2 linked regions of the Styela clava genome follow. The protein of the gene in region 2 interacts with the protein of the main gene of each other region in a pairwise test. Links are inferred from orthologs where the notes say so. Each region holds a gene or a part of one and is shown on either strand. Other genes may lie near its edges.

Region 1 (8,006 bases), on a different chromosome or scaffold from region 2:
CGTGATTAAACCTTGAATTAATCTTTTTCTCAACTAATTCAGCTATCGAGTAGAATAATTCTGTTTCTATATTTATTTAACAAAAATTGAAAACTAATTAGAATCACTGTTTTCTATTAGAAATTAATTCAATTTCTCAACCAATTGTTCCCAAACTTCTCAGACCTATGGCCACTTTTGATATTCGGCCTAGAAGTTACAAACTGTCCCCCCAGTTAAATAATATTTATCAACATATTTTAACAGTTTGAAGATACGTTTAATATAGTAGTCTTGAGTATATTTTGGAATATATAAAATTGTTATCTTATCGCCTTGTGAGTTGACATGGCCGTATTGCAGACCATTGAATAGAGAAACTGTCCATTCTTTATGAAGCATTGAAACAGAAATGGCATTATAACAAAACAAAACTGTTCATGCATGTTGATGATAGAAATTTAAAGATTTTTATCTACTGCAAGCATTTCATCTTTTCTATCATGATTAATAATTGTAGGATTAATGGCAAAAACACGAATTCCCATGATTACTGTTCCACAGTCATAAACCTTACGATCAAGCCTCAGCTCTTGAGGTTGAAGGCTCGGTTTCCTCCTTAGGTGCCATCATAACAAGTTGCTTTTCGGCTTTAGCAACTTCATAAGCATAAGCAATAATTTCCTCCGTCAAATGCTTGTGGCTATCGGCTTTACTTTTATGCTCCGGTGGTGTGTCTTTGCAACGATTTCTGAGCTTGTGAGCACTTTCACATATCAATGATAAGACTGATTTTATTGCTGGCAGGTGAGGTTTGTCGAATAGAGCAATAACTTCTGAAACTGCAGATAGAATATTCTCTGCACATTCTAAATAGGAATCGACTTTCTTCAATTGAGCTGTTTGGAGCAAGGTTTGTATCATTCGAGTAAGTAATTCTGTTTTTTTCATCAACGCTTGACGCTCCGGCCAAATAATTGGCTCCTCTGCATCCACTTGTGAATGAGGACTACTTGAATTACTCTGAGTAGTTTTTTCTTGCGCTTCTTCCTGAGGCTCTGAGGCTTTAGCTGTGTCCTCAGAGACTAAATCAGGCCTAGGCTGTGCTAGAGGAGCTGTTGGTTGCGGAAGATTATTATTTGCATTTAAATTGGTTTGCTGAGGTTCTGCATCTTTGCCAGTAGTTTTCGATTCAGACGTTGCTGTAGTTTCAGACTTGGCTTCGTCTTTTGCAACGGAGTTATTATCGTATTCACTCCCATTACTGCAATGTGATGGGCTATCAGCCGCAGCAACAGCATCATGCTTGGTAACTAATGGACTTGCTGATTGTTGAAGGTCCTCACCAGTGGCACCTTGATGATCAACATGAATTGTACGACGACGTAACTCTGAACTCTCAGTCGAGTGCAATGACGATGTACTCCCTGATGAGTCATTCGGATTATATACAGAACTTGGTCTAGCAGTAGGACTCTGAAGTCCGATTCGAGGCAGTGCTGTAAAATCACTTTGGTGCGCTGCTTGGGGCGTGCTCTTGGCAGATTGGGTTAGCTGTGGAACATTAGAAAGCAACGTTTGAATTTTTCTAGTTAAATCAATCTTCTGTTTTGCCAGTGCTGTGACTTTTGTAGACAACTCACGATTTTGTTCAGTGAGTCTCAAACATTCAGCATTTTTCTCCTCTAATTTTGCTTTTATTGAGAGAAACTCTTCCTTTGGTACAGTTTCTTTAGGTGGCTCAATAGATTTCTCGATTGCAAAGTAATTCAATTCTTCATCAGGTGGAATGTCATAAATCGGGTCTTCTTCTGGAGGAATAGGATCAAAAATTTTCTGTCTTCGAGTGACTTCATGTAGAATATCACAGATTAAATTATTCATTTCAGCTTCTTTGAAAATTGCTAGCTTTTGACGACCCTGGTTACGAGTCGTTGAATAATCTGGATGAACTGGAAGAAACGGAACAACCTCGGTTTGTAATGCTGGGTTTGTGCCTTTCCCAGGAAATAAAATTCCCTTCTGTATTTCTTGCCAAACTCGTTCCAATTCACGACGGTCGACTTCATCATAAACATCCATAGCTAATTCCCCGAATGTTTGGTTGTTTAGAGCTCGAAGACGCCGCTTACCCTCTGGGCTTATCACACAAGCATCCTTTATCTTAGGTAAAAGATAATGCTTTCCAGCCTTATGATCTGGAGTTTGACTGCAAACGAACTCAGTGAATCTATCAGATAGTTCATGCTGAAGTTCAACTAATCGATCGGCTAAATCATTATGATTCTCAGCTCTGGCTATGTCTTCAGGTGTTTTACCATTTGAATCTCGTATAGCAGGATCCGCTCCATAAGCAACAAGCAATTCAACCTGCAGGCTTTGCCCAACTTTCGATGCCACATGAAGCGGTGCATTTCCTCTTTCTGGACTAAAAAAATTTGCTTGAGCGCCACGAGATAAAAGTCGTAAACATGTTTCCAAGTTACCAGTTCTCACGCTTGAATGAAGCTGTTTGCTAATGTCATGATGTTCATCTTCTCTGAGTGGTAAGCGATGAACGTAAGACAAATTCAAATACTTGGATTTGATAAAATCGGATTTTGTTGGGTGAATATTGTCATTAGGATTAGGTTTTCTTTTTCCACTACGCATTTGAGCAGGATCTAACAGCGAGTGTTCCCAAATAGAATTTGCACCCGCAGACACTAGATGTTGCACCATGCTGAGCATATTTGGGTGCCAGGTGCATTTATGCAGATGCTTCACTTGGGAAATATGTCGTCCAAGAGTCATGTGCACACTTGCGCAATCATTGCACATCAAAACACCACGATTCACTGATGCCCAGTTAGCATCTGGAGCTCCACAATCCGAACATATTTCAGAAAGAGGTCGTATCCCAGATTTGACTGGATTTCTCGGCATCGTTCTGCTTTTCATCATTGTCACAGTGAATTGAATTTCACCAACATTAAGTCATCAACACCATCCAATTTATTTTTTTAATATTTGTAATTTGCTAAAGAATTAGGAATGTTAATACAATTCATAGCAATGTTATAATGCATTGTTAGGCAATAATGGAAAAGGGGTGTCTTTCACTTCAAAACATTTACTGCATTTCCAATCATGCTATTACTGAATTATAAAATTCTATACACACATACACAGCAGTATAACCTGTTCCTAAATTATTTCCACTATCCACTACCATCAGACCTTGCAATCATGCTTTTGTTTGTTGGTGATAACTACTGAACTTATAAATTACTAGTATGCAACAATCTTGGGGTCCAGTGTAGTTTCGTACCTAAACTACTTCTAGCGGGTGTTACATAACAATTTTTGCATATGTTAATCCTAACCCCCACCTGACTGGGTCATCTAAAAATTATGGCACTATGACATCACAGTGACGCAATAGAGGTCAAACTATATGAACTATCATCCAAGATGTGCAGACGATCATCTGGAATCGAGCAACTCTTGTCGCAACGATCCCAATATGAGAGAGATCGCTGCCATTAGTGAGTCGCTATCATCGACGCACATGCCATTTTTGGGCGATCGTATGAGCTCTATGTCGTGAATGTGACGTCGTAGTGACATAACTTTGGGATGGCATAGTCAGGTCTGCAGGATTGACACGTGAAAAAATTGTTATGCTATGCCCACTAGAAGTAAGTTAGGTACAAAACTACATGCTGACATGAGACCCCAGTCATGATGGGTTAGATATAACAGAATACTGGAATAAGGAATTTTAAATCGTTCTGCCTTGTGTCATACAGAGTAGGTACACATCTACAGCATTTTGGGTCTAGTATAGTTTAGTACCACAAGTACTTCCGGTGGGCGTAGCATAACGAATTTTGCTTATGCTATTCCTAACCCCCACCTGACTGTGCCATCCAAAAATTACGTCACTACGACGTCACCATCACGTCATAGGGATTGCCAAAGTATAATTACGATCGCCCGAAATGACATCTGCGCCGCTGATAACGAACTTGCTAAAGCCGGCGATCTCTCTCCTATCGTGATCGTTGTGACGAGAAAACGGGAGAAATTGATTGCTCGATTTCGGGTGATCGTCTGCGCGTTTTGGACAACCATCCGCATACTTCGGTGGGCATTATTACGCCACTGTGACGTCAAAATGACGTAATTTTTCGGTGACGTAGTCAGGTGGGGGTTAGGATTGACATATGCAAAAATTGTTGAGCCAGGTCAACTAGAAGTACATGTGGTACTAAACTATACCAGACCCGGCATTTTAAGGTACATGAAATGGATTCATCCTGAGAGAGAAAAAAGGTGATACAGTGATAAGATGGTGTAATCATATGGCGAATGACAGTCTCTCGTGCAGTTATTAGTCCATTTCGATATGGGATTAGTTATTTTTTGTCATTGTTTTCCAGTTATTTTTGTTTTTGACAGTCAGATGCATGAACTTGCATTCATACCTGCATACAGAATTCTGCTATTTCAGTATTTCTATATTTGTTGAAATAACAAACATAGTACAGTAATAAGTAATCAGCACTACAACAGTTAAGTACTAGAAAGATTCCAAAAATTCTAAGATTTAGTTAGAGTCTCACAGACAGTTTCAGTCTTCATTATTAAACTAATTAAACCCATTAATAAACTTATACTTATTACGGTACCGGTATCTGATCACTGGATTGTGATATGCGTTGTCCAAATAGTCTACAGAACTAAAAAAACAAATACAGAACTACAGAACTGTCTAACGAACACTGGAATATACTACAAACTCAAAAAGAATCATTCAATTACGACAATTGAACAATTGATTCGAAAACACGACTGCGCGACAACAGAAAGATACCCCCACTGACTGCTTCCACGCCTAGGATTGGTGATTTCCCCTCCTTATTCTATTATAAGTCTTTGTGTACAGGAGGTGCTTGGAGTGCACTTTCATGAGCGAGGTATCACGGCAATTAAATACATTTAAGGAAACATGCACACTATACTGAAGACTAAATATTTTTTATAATATACGGTATTCATATATGATAGAATATCCTAATCATAACAGTTTTTAACCAATAAAAAGCGACCAAAAAAATAGGATCAACATTGGTCTCCCACCACCATATTTAACGAACTCTTCAGCGACAACTGACGGCCGAACGTCGCTACTGAATCAGTTCCCGTATTAAGTACGTTTTTATCGCGTCAGTCGTGTAATATAATACATTGATTCTGAATCTGTCAATTTTGTTATTGAACCCTAATTAGAAGCTGAAACCAGTAATGGTATGTAAATAAATCTGTCAAAACTATACTACCTGTTTCTCACCCAATCTACGTACAGGTATGTCAACAACAGTGTCTCTATTTTTCTCGACCTTTTCAACAACGCGTCAGAAAGTAATTGCCCTCCAGCGAATGCTGTGAAGCTCAGTTTCAATACCGGCAAAAATTACATTAAAATACGAAACATACAAACGGAAATAATTTCGTTCATAAATACTGTAGAATAATCACACTTATAATTTCGACCCATCTTGATGGGATCAAAAATGTAATATAAACAAGCACTGAGATTCATCCTCACGATCGATTGAGTTTTTGTTAATTTAATTTTTAAAACAATTTTAAGATGATCTGTTATGTTATAATTTATCAACGAAACAGCCCAATTATGTGCTATCAGCTAAACTACGTTTATTTTCTAAGATTGTAGATAAAATAATGGAGAACCAAACGTAACAAAATCACACACACGAAGAGAATATAATACAACATAAAAGCTCACCTGATTTAGCATTATCTTCGGCCACAGAAATACCGATAATAACGGCGACGACGAGGAAGAAATTCATTGCAGTACTCTTGTACATCAAATATCCCTTTGGTTTTGGTTCGACGATCGTCACAGATAAAATTTCTGACGAATTTCTATTTCATCGAAGAATGGTGATTATTTAGCCTGCAGCTAACGCGCATGTTTTTCTGTAGATTTGTTGATATCGGGTGGTTTTGCAGTGTGAGGAAAACTTAGTGAAAGGCACTGACGCTGGGAAAGTCCGATAGCGCGCCACATAAAGCCTTGCAGGGATTGCAAGGAATACAACTGTTCATGTCTAAAATAAATAAACATAATTCCTAAAATAATGCTAAATTTTGAATTGTTGTTGGTGTCGTTTGGGGTGATTGTTATAGAAATTCGCTTTCAAATTTTCAATACATAAAATGCGAGAACTCGCTAGAAGCCTATTACTTTTATTTGTAATTTTTTCTGAGGATACCATGATACCAAATATTTCATCCAAAATTGTGATGTTTTACCCGAATTGGCGGGAATACTGTTTTGATCGTTGAATTTCGCGATCATATGAGTATTGCTTCTATTTCGTTGTTTTTATTAAATGTAGCAGCTCTACCTTGGATTCTATCGTACTCGTTGTTTGTGTCATAAATCTAAAAACAAGCAATTGTAATCGCGTTGTTTAAAGCTTTTTTAAATTATCATGAAATTATAATTACCGTACAAAGCTCATTAGACACAAAAAAATCAATATTTTGTTTATAAAACAATAGTACTTGTTTTTAGAGTAATCAAAAAAGACCAAAGTACTACCCGATCCATACATTAGGGCGGCATAGAATACACGCTTATAAAGCGCACGATGGATTTTTGACAAAAAAAAAGCTACAGGGGTGGTAGCACAAAAGTCACATTGGCGGTGTCCAAATAGGGCTGATGAAATGCGGTCGTTGCGTGTCAAATTGGGGGTGACGAAATAAGATCGTCGAGTCAAGTTAGGGGTGACGAAATACGGTCGGGGCGTGTCAGATTAAGGGTGACAAAATACGGACGGTGCGTGTCAGATTGGGGGTGACGAAATACGTTCGCTGCGAAGAAACCGAAGATTTAATTTCTGCATGTCAGAATAGTAGAAGCACGTTTTGAACTGGACCTAATCAAACCTACCAAACATAGCGTATATTCCGGTAATTTTAGGAAAATATATATATATGTATCATAGTCAAACGTGGTTTTGTATTTAAACTTAATTTACCACAATTATCTTTTTACTTTTTAATACAGCGATATTGGACGTCTAATACATTTAAAGCAAGTATAGGGGTGACGAAATGCGGTCGTTGTGTGTCAAAATGGGAGTGACGAAATAGGGCCGTCGAGTCAAGTTAGGGGTGGCGAAATACGGTCGGTGCATGTCAGATTGGGGGTGACGAAATACGGTCGTTGGGTGGTGTCAGGTTAGGGGTGACAAAATACGGTCGCTGCGAAGAAACCTTAAATATTTGATATCGAAGTATCGGAGAGTATAAAATAGGGGGAAAAAACATTTAACGTTCTCTCGTGGGTACTTTTGGAAATGTCGAAAAATTAAAGTTTTGGATGGGCGGTTTCTCGAAAATTTTCAATAAAGTCAGCATTACGATATATTGACAAAAAAAGGAAATAAAAAACATATAAATTCGATTTCATCATTTCAGAATTGTAGCAGCACGTTTTGAACTGGCCATATATAATACCAAACATGGCGTATATTCCGATAATTTTATGAAAAATATATATCTATCATAGTTAAGTATGGTTTTGTATTTCAACTAAATTTACTAAATAATTGAACAATTATCTTTTTTACTTTCGCATACACTGATACTGAACGTTTATACACATGGAATAAGTTGCAGGTATTACAAAATAACAATAAACATTATATGTCCTTTCGTGGATTTTTTTTAATTCTGAAAATTAAAATTTTGATTGGATGATTTCCGGAAAACCTCCTATAAAGGCAGTAATACGACACACTGGGAATAGAGGGGAGACGTAATAGATTCGATTTTATCGTGGCAAAACAGTAGCACGGTTTTACATGGCCGTATGTATTTCCAAACATAGCGTATAAATGTAACATATTTTAAAGAGGATGCTTTCGAGAATCGCTTTTTGGAAAAGTTTATTTTCCTCGAGATGACATTCACATTTATCGATTTGGATGAAACACAAAACC
Region 2 (6,890 bases):
TTTCTAACCGATATTCTAGTTAATAAATTACTAGTTTTTGAAAGTATCGGAATCTTTCCGATTTGGCATTACCTACTCAATTTATTACACTCTAGGTGAAGTGGTGGGCATTGAATTTGAACCAGCAATTTTAACATAGTAAAGTCGTTCACTTTACCCACAAGGCCATCACACCCATGGTTATAGTTTAAATAGTTTGAAAAATGGGGCATATTTGACATAATTGATTATTATTTGAAAAAAACCTGAGGTGGATTTATTTAATTATGATATAATAATATAGTAGCATGATTTCATTCATATTTTTGCATTTTTAAAAATGTTGACCATCCACACTCTTATTTAGTACCTTATTAGTTAAGTGTACTACCACCAAGCCTATGTTGACATCCTGTCAAATAGGAAGGTGATCACACATCATGAATTCATATATTTTGCTTCACTATCATCGCTATAAAATACATGACTCACATCATGCTTTCATGAAACTGCAATAAATCAATATATACCACGTAATAATCACCTTCAAATCGCAAGTGGTGTTTAGCAACAAATTGCTCGGCTTCAAATCACGGTGAATCACATGAGCTGAATGAATGTATTTCAATCCTCTCAAGATTTGGTACAAGAAGTAACAAATGTGATCGTTGCTCAAATGCTGAGTTTTTAGCAGTTTGTAAAGATCGGTTTCCATCAAATCTTGCACTATGTGTCTAAATTGAGTTATAGATAATATGATGTATTATAAGGAGGTAAAAATTTAGAAGGGTCATTTCAAATTAAAGATTAAGAGCAACACTAAGAACAAAAATGATGAATTCTAAATGTCGAGTATATAAAAATTTGTGGTAAATAGTGTTTTTATAGCGTAAATTTAAAAACTTCAATTAGAGTTTTACACCAATTTATTGAAATCAACTAACAGATTAAAATATCTGATTTTCATTTTTTTGTGGGACATACAGTATTACAAATTTCGTTATCAACTTTATGATGAAAGAGATGTTGACTAAAAACTTTTTTTATTGAATTATGGATATTCACATTTAGCTTTGAATTTTTTGATGAACAAAATAGAAAAATTTGAAGATTCAAATTCTGGCTTTATATAACAGAAAAAATTTTGAAGTGCACATCACTCAACAGTCAATATCTTACTGAAAATCGGGATCCAGTGGCTACTTATTTTCTCGTGTTGAGGAATATGACCTAGCCCAATGTTAATAAGTACTGGAAAATGTATGTGAAATCGATGAAGTTTGAACTATAACTAAATAAATCTACTTACACATCTTTCATGTTTGCGATATTGGCAGACCGAATGATGTCTTTGATCGTAATAATATTTTCATGGTTGAAACTGAGCAATATCTTGATTTCTCTGTAAGTACGCTGGCAGTAAGTTTGATGCTCGAATGGACTAATTTTCTTGATAGCCACTTTTGTTCCTTTGAATGTGTCCATTGCAGACCTAAACCATAGTTCGAGTTTATAACAAGTGCAAATATTTTGGTCATGTGACAGTTGACGTATGTCACCTGAGCTCAAGAATATAATTTTTTTCGTGGAATAAATTTATTTAATAATTTATTCCCTCTACCAGTTCTTCATGCAATGACTTTTTATCGAATAAAGTTTTCAAATACCATAATTTCCAAGTCCAATTTATCAAGATTTTCAATTTCGTTTGATCTGAATTGTATGAATATGGCTATACTACCCAAAAATAAAACACATTTTTGAATAATCTGTAAGAAAAATATACAATATTCTTTTTGATTGCATTTTCCTCAAAATAAGTTACCATTAAGTAATATGCAACTATTTATAATACAGTTGAACACTCTCTTGAAAATGACAGTACACTTGTAAAAATTACATGTGAAACTTTTATGTTAGATTCAAAACAAGTACTCTGTCCATAAAAACAAAGAAACTTTATTTCAACATGACCAGCAGTTAGGGGTAGATCATGATAATATTGAATATTATCAAGCATGTGACGACAATCTTATCCAGTGTATTCTTAGGCAAACAATTTCTTATTAGTTGAAAATGTCTAGTACATAATGTGTAAATATTTGACTTTCATAACTCTACCCTATGTTTGAAGAAACTGTATTATGACAAAGCTTTAGATCTATATTCATCTTCTTTTTATTACTTCATTATATTACAGAATACAAGTGCATTTGAGAATTGATTGTAGTATCAATGAATTCAGAAAAATAGTTCCCATACAGGATTTAAAATGTTACATATTTATCATATTGACTATGGACAACAACAATATCAGGTACTGAGCTGCTAAACATATGATGAAAATGCTGAGGAAAAAATAATTCTCGGAATACTGATAAATCTTATTCAGGGTTAATCTTGCTCATAATCATGATCGATATTTTATACCCTTCTGAATTAGTAATATTAATAAAACTTTGATATGCACACTATATCCAACTAACGGATATTTTGAGATAACAATTCGAGATGACAAACTTATTATGAATTTCAAGTTTATTTTGAATTGAAGTTGAAATTTCAAGTACATCACCCTATGAATATCCAATACCGGGAAATAATTTAGTTTAAAATTTGCCCTATTGCAAATTTGCAATGTTATTGCGAGTCAATTATAGTATATGTATTGATCAATTAGGAATAATTAATATTAAAAAGTATCGCACACAAGTATCCTACATTTGAAATATGAAAATTATATCTATCAGAAGAACATTATTACAAAATCCAACTTTACATTAACAGTAAATAAAAAACTCTAATGCTGACCTATTTGCCAGTGTAGCAATTCTGTATTGAAAATAAGATACTTACACAACCATTCCATAGGCTCCTTCTCCAATATATGACAAGTTTAAATATCTTGGTCCAACATCAAAAACTTGTCCCCTCACCACCTCAGCACAAGCCTTACGTTCCATGCTTTAAATTTACCTCAAACGATATAAACTATAATAGTGTGAATGTGAACTATAAATCAAGAAAGAAAGAGTTTTTGTTATATTTAATTTTTCTAATCAGAACCAAATTTTAATAAAATAAAAATAATATAACATGAAGTAATCTATGCAGAATAAATTTGACTAATCATTCAAACATAACTAATGAATTCTGAAGAGTTGACATCCTACTAAGAAGTCTGGGGTATATTGTTGACTAGCGTAGAACCCTTGCACCTTGAGCTCAATTCCTGAAAAAACTTAATCTAAGGTATTGGAAAATATTACTAAAGAAGGTGATCAGAAATATTGGCAAGAGTACCATAAACTCAGCCAAACAGGAAGTCGGTTACAATTTACATTCAGTCAAAAAAGTATTAATCATGATTCATGATACAGTTGTTCACTACACATTCACCAACAGCTGATAACCCTAAAAATCATCACTATTCAAAAATGTTCATGATAAAATAGCATAGCAGTATTAATATGAATCAAACAAACTGCTACAGTTTACTTCTATTCCATTACAACTAATACTGAATATCATGCGAATTCTCGATTTTAGAATTGATTCAGATCGATTTGTATTTGAAAAGTCATCATTTAGAACAGTTCAAGTCTCACTGTATCTCAGCTTTTTTTTACTTTCAAACTCAAACCAATTATTGAATATACATCGACAACAGTGAACTTCAACCACTGAAAATTTCAAAGCGATAGGTCTAGTAATTAAAAAGAAAAATATTTCTAACAACAGCTTTATACCAAAATGCCGAATTTAAAATATATTTGGTATTCCACATTTGGGTATATTGTATTAAAATGTTCTTGGAATACAGTAGTAAATTATTGCATTTTGGCCATTTCTGGGTATTACCTATACCTTCCATTCTTAATGCTAAACCTAAGCAATGCCTCATATATTATATATAGATATCTCAAAGGCGATTGCAGAATTAAAAGAAACAATAACTACCATTTGCTATACATAGACACAATAATATTATTATATTATGATGATCAAAGATTTTGCATTATTAATGATGATCATAAAATGAAAAAAAAAGTATTCCATGCCAGATTTTAGAGTGCAGTAACCGCCAAATAGCTCGCTTGACAAAATTCTGCACAAGCAAATTTCCCATTTACATTATATTTTTGTCTATATATTCTTTTGAGTGGCTATTTTTCAGTAATTAAAATTTGCTCACCCTTTAGCTTTAAATTTTGTACAATTTATCATATATAGCAGGGGTGGCCAACCTGCTTTCGACCGCGGTCGACTAAAATCTTCAAAATAGCTCGCGATCGACTGATCAGTAACATGGGTATATATATATAACTAATGGGTACTGAATATACAAATGACTGCACTGCACACACGCATACGAAAAATTCCAACGCCCCAATAAGGTCGGCTCTGTAGGCGCATTTTCAATAAAAATCGTTCCATGTTATTTGTTAATGTAATTGTACCAGGAGTAAATTTTCATCGCTTATTTGAGATTTATTGAGTAATACGATTCAGATCTACAGCATGCCTAATTTTCAGTCTTAAATGTTCCTCAAGAAATCTTGCCAAGTATCCATATTATTTAAACAGCGAAAAATAAATATTCTCAAACCATATATGTTACACAACTGCTTAAACTTCCGTTCTAATTTACAATTGCCCTCTAGTTTACAGTCTTCGCTAACTTGGAATTATAAAAAATTTGGCATTCTAATGCCACTGCTGTCGTTGTGAATACAATTTATCACACTACTCTTGGAGTGAGACAATAACTTTCGCATACTGCAGAAGTTATTGTAAGATCGTTTCTCAGTCAAGACATACGACATTCGGCACGTTCATTTCTAAACCTTGGCAGCGATTAAACTTTCATTTGTTACGAAATAATAAGCGCTATCAGGTTTGCCCAGACTCAAATACTGTATATCATATTTTGCGCATGTACAGTACTATATTCTTCCTTCGTAAAACTGGTTCAAGGCAAAATTTTAGGGTATGTTATTAAATTCACTCAACATCAGACATCAATTAGAACATAAAAGACATCAATTATAACAGTGAATGCAGACTCTTCCTTTACGAAACAGTCTTATAAACTAAGATGAAGCGCAATCTAAAAACGTTACCATGGGTTTACTTTGAAAAAAATAATCCCATTTACCGAAGAGAAAAATTTACCCTAGCATTCATTTTAGCAAAAAACCATCGGCAGGGGAGAATTTCGGTCATGTGATGGCTGACACATGTTAAATCATTATTGAGACAAGCATGGCGCAATCTGCAGAACTGCCTTTGTGCCAGCACTCTCGTTTCAGACACAAATAGAGTGTTTGTTTTATTGAACCAAATGTCGGGACATCTTGGAATCGGAGAACTGTGCCCAACTGACATTCGCATTGGGAGTTGATGATGGAAGAAGCCGTAAACAACCAGCAGCTATTAATACGCGAACCACCCTCCGGTGACAAGGAGTTCAGCCATTCTCTTGCACATAGTTAACCCCCACAGGATTCTGCGAACCCGCGCAGGGTAATCAGGGGCCACATCGCCGAGAATAAATCACAACTGTGGTCTGTTTTAAACAAATATATGTGAATAAATCTCTGTGTCTCCTTTACAATGCAAAGCAACTGGATATCAGTCATCAGTCACTCAAACCTGAAACCCAAGTGCAGTTTCAAGTATTTTGTGGCGTCTAAAGCTGCCGCAAAACCATGGCAAGATTTCCAAACCATGGCCGCTATAGCCAAACCTATGGCAACTGACTTTTTAGCTGCCACAAACCAATGGCGAGCTGCCGTTACCGCGACAGCAAATTGAAAACCAAAGGCGGGTAAAATTTTTCTGCCATAAACAGGGCATGTCGGCTGTAATGGTAGGGCTGCCCCTAATGGTAATAAATATTGGGTAGGTCTGTAGGTTGGAACATTTTTTTTATAAATACAATTTGGATAGATTTGAGGTTAGATTTGAGGTTTAAATAGATATAATTCCGCATGATAAACTAAAATCTGGTACACGACTTTGTGAATATACCGGTATTACTGAATAGCGCCATGGCAAGAGACGCCACGATTCGTTCGTGGCGGGAGCTGCCATGAAGTGGTAAGAACGGCGACTCCTGAAACCAGTAAACCTTATAATTAATAGATTAATGCCATCGAGTAGTTCAGTCTGTCAGTAGTTGGAAAGGCTAAGGCTGTGCGGGACGAAACAGCTTGTGTCGAAAAGTCTGTAAACCAAGCAGAAATGATCATGACAATACAATCATTGTATAAGAAAATAACTAAATAAAGCAATAATTAATAATGCAGTACTGTAATACAGTAATAAGGGAACACAGCAGGATAGGCTGACAGTGATAGATACTTTATTTCTTTATAAACAGGGTGAGAATAGCGGGATCAAGAAAGCAGATTGGCCAGAACTTACCATAGACTACTTGTACAACGTAGGTAACAGTACGGCACAGGACGAAACGTATCTGTACCGGTATATTTTAGACGCCTGGTCATATCAGCATATTGCTGTATTGTGCAGGGGGGTGTCAGTCTGCACTGCTGTACCGGTAGTGGAGCAGCGGCAGAGCGGAGAGAAACTGGTACGATTTCAGCATTTGCAATTTGCGTTCCTCAGCATTAGGAACATTATGTAGGCTACCGGCACATAACTTTTGTAACATTTCGCTGATTCATATTCCAAATGAACACAAAAGAAAGCCTTATAAACCAACAACACGGCGGGCGACTCAGCAGTCAACAGCCAAAATAACCTTCCGATGGATTCCGCGTGGTGGCGCCCTAATAGAATGATCATAGTTGGGTATATAGCAATGAAAAATGGTAAAATCCTGATACACAAAAGAAAGTGGCATTTATTTATATAATAGTCGATCAAGTGACTTTTTGCTATTT

The links. The genes of interacting proteins can lie anywhere in the genome.
Region 1: the proteins of mitogen-activated protein kinase 1-like (region 2) and ARF GTPase-activating protein GIT2-like interact in a two-hybrid assay, tested with the Caenorhabditis elegans proteins (3 studies listed by BioGRID). The link is inferred for Styela clava from reciprocal best matches to the Caenorhabditis elegans genes mpk-1 and git-1.

What each region holds. Positions count from the first base shown.
Region 1 is NC_135260.1:6,658,756-6,666,761, reverse strand, and holds the start of ARF GTPase-activating protein GIT2-like, read right to left. Parts: upstream 3,021-8,006; 5' UTR 2,923-3,020; coding exon 559-2,922; 3' UTR 1-558. Other genes in the region: uncharacterized protein LOC120346911, read right to left, coding at 5,774-5,858.
Region 2 is NC_135252.1:7,506,291-7,513,180, forward strand, and holds the start of mitogen-activated protein kinase 1-like, read right to left. Parts: upstream 3,010-6,890; 5' UTR 2,943-3,009; coding exon 2,836-2,942; intron 1,472-2,835; coding exon 1,289-1,471; intron 714-1,288; coding exon 524-713; intron 1-523. UniProt on the Caenorhabditis elegans protein: Functions in let-60 Ras signaling pathway; acts downstream of lin-45 raf kinase, but before the lin-1 gene product in controlling vulval cell differentiation. Plays a negative role in proximal germline proliferation in the mitotic zone.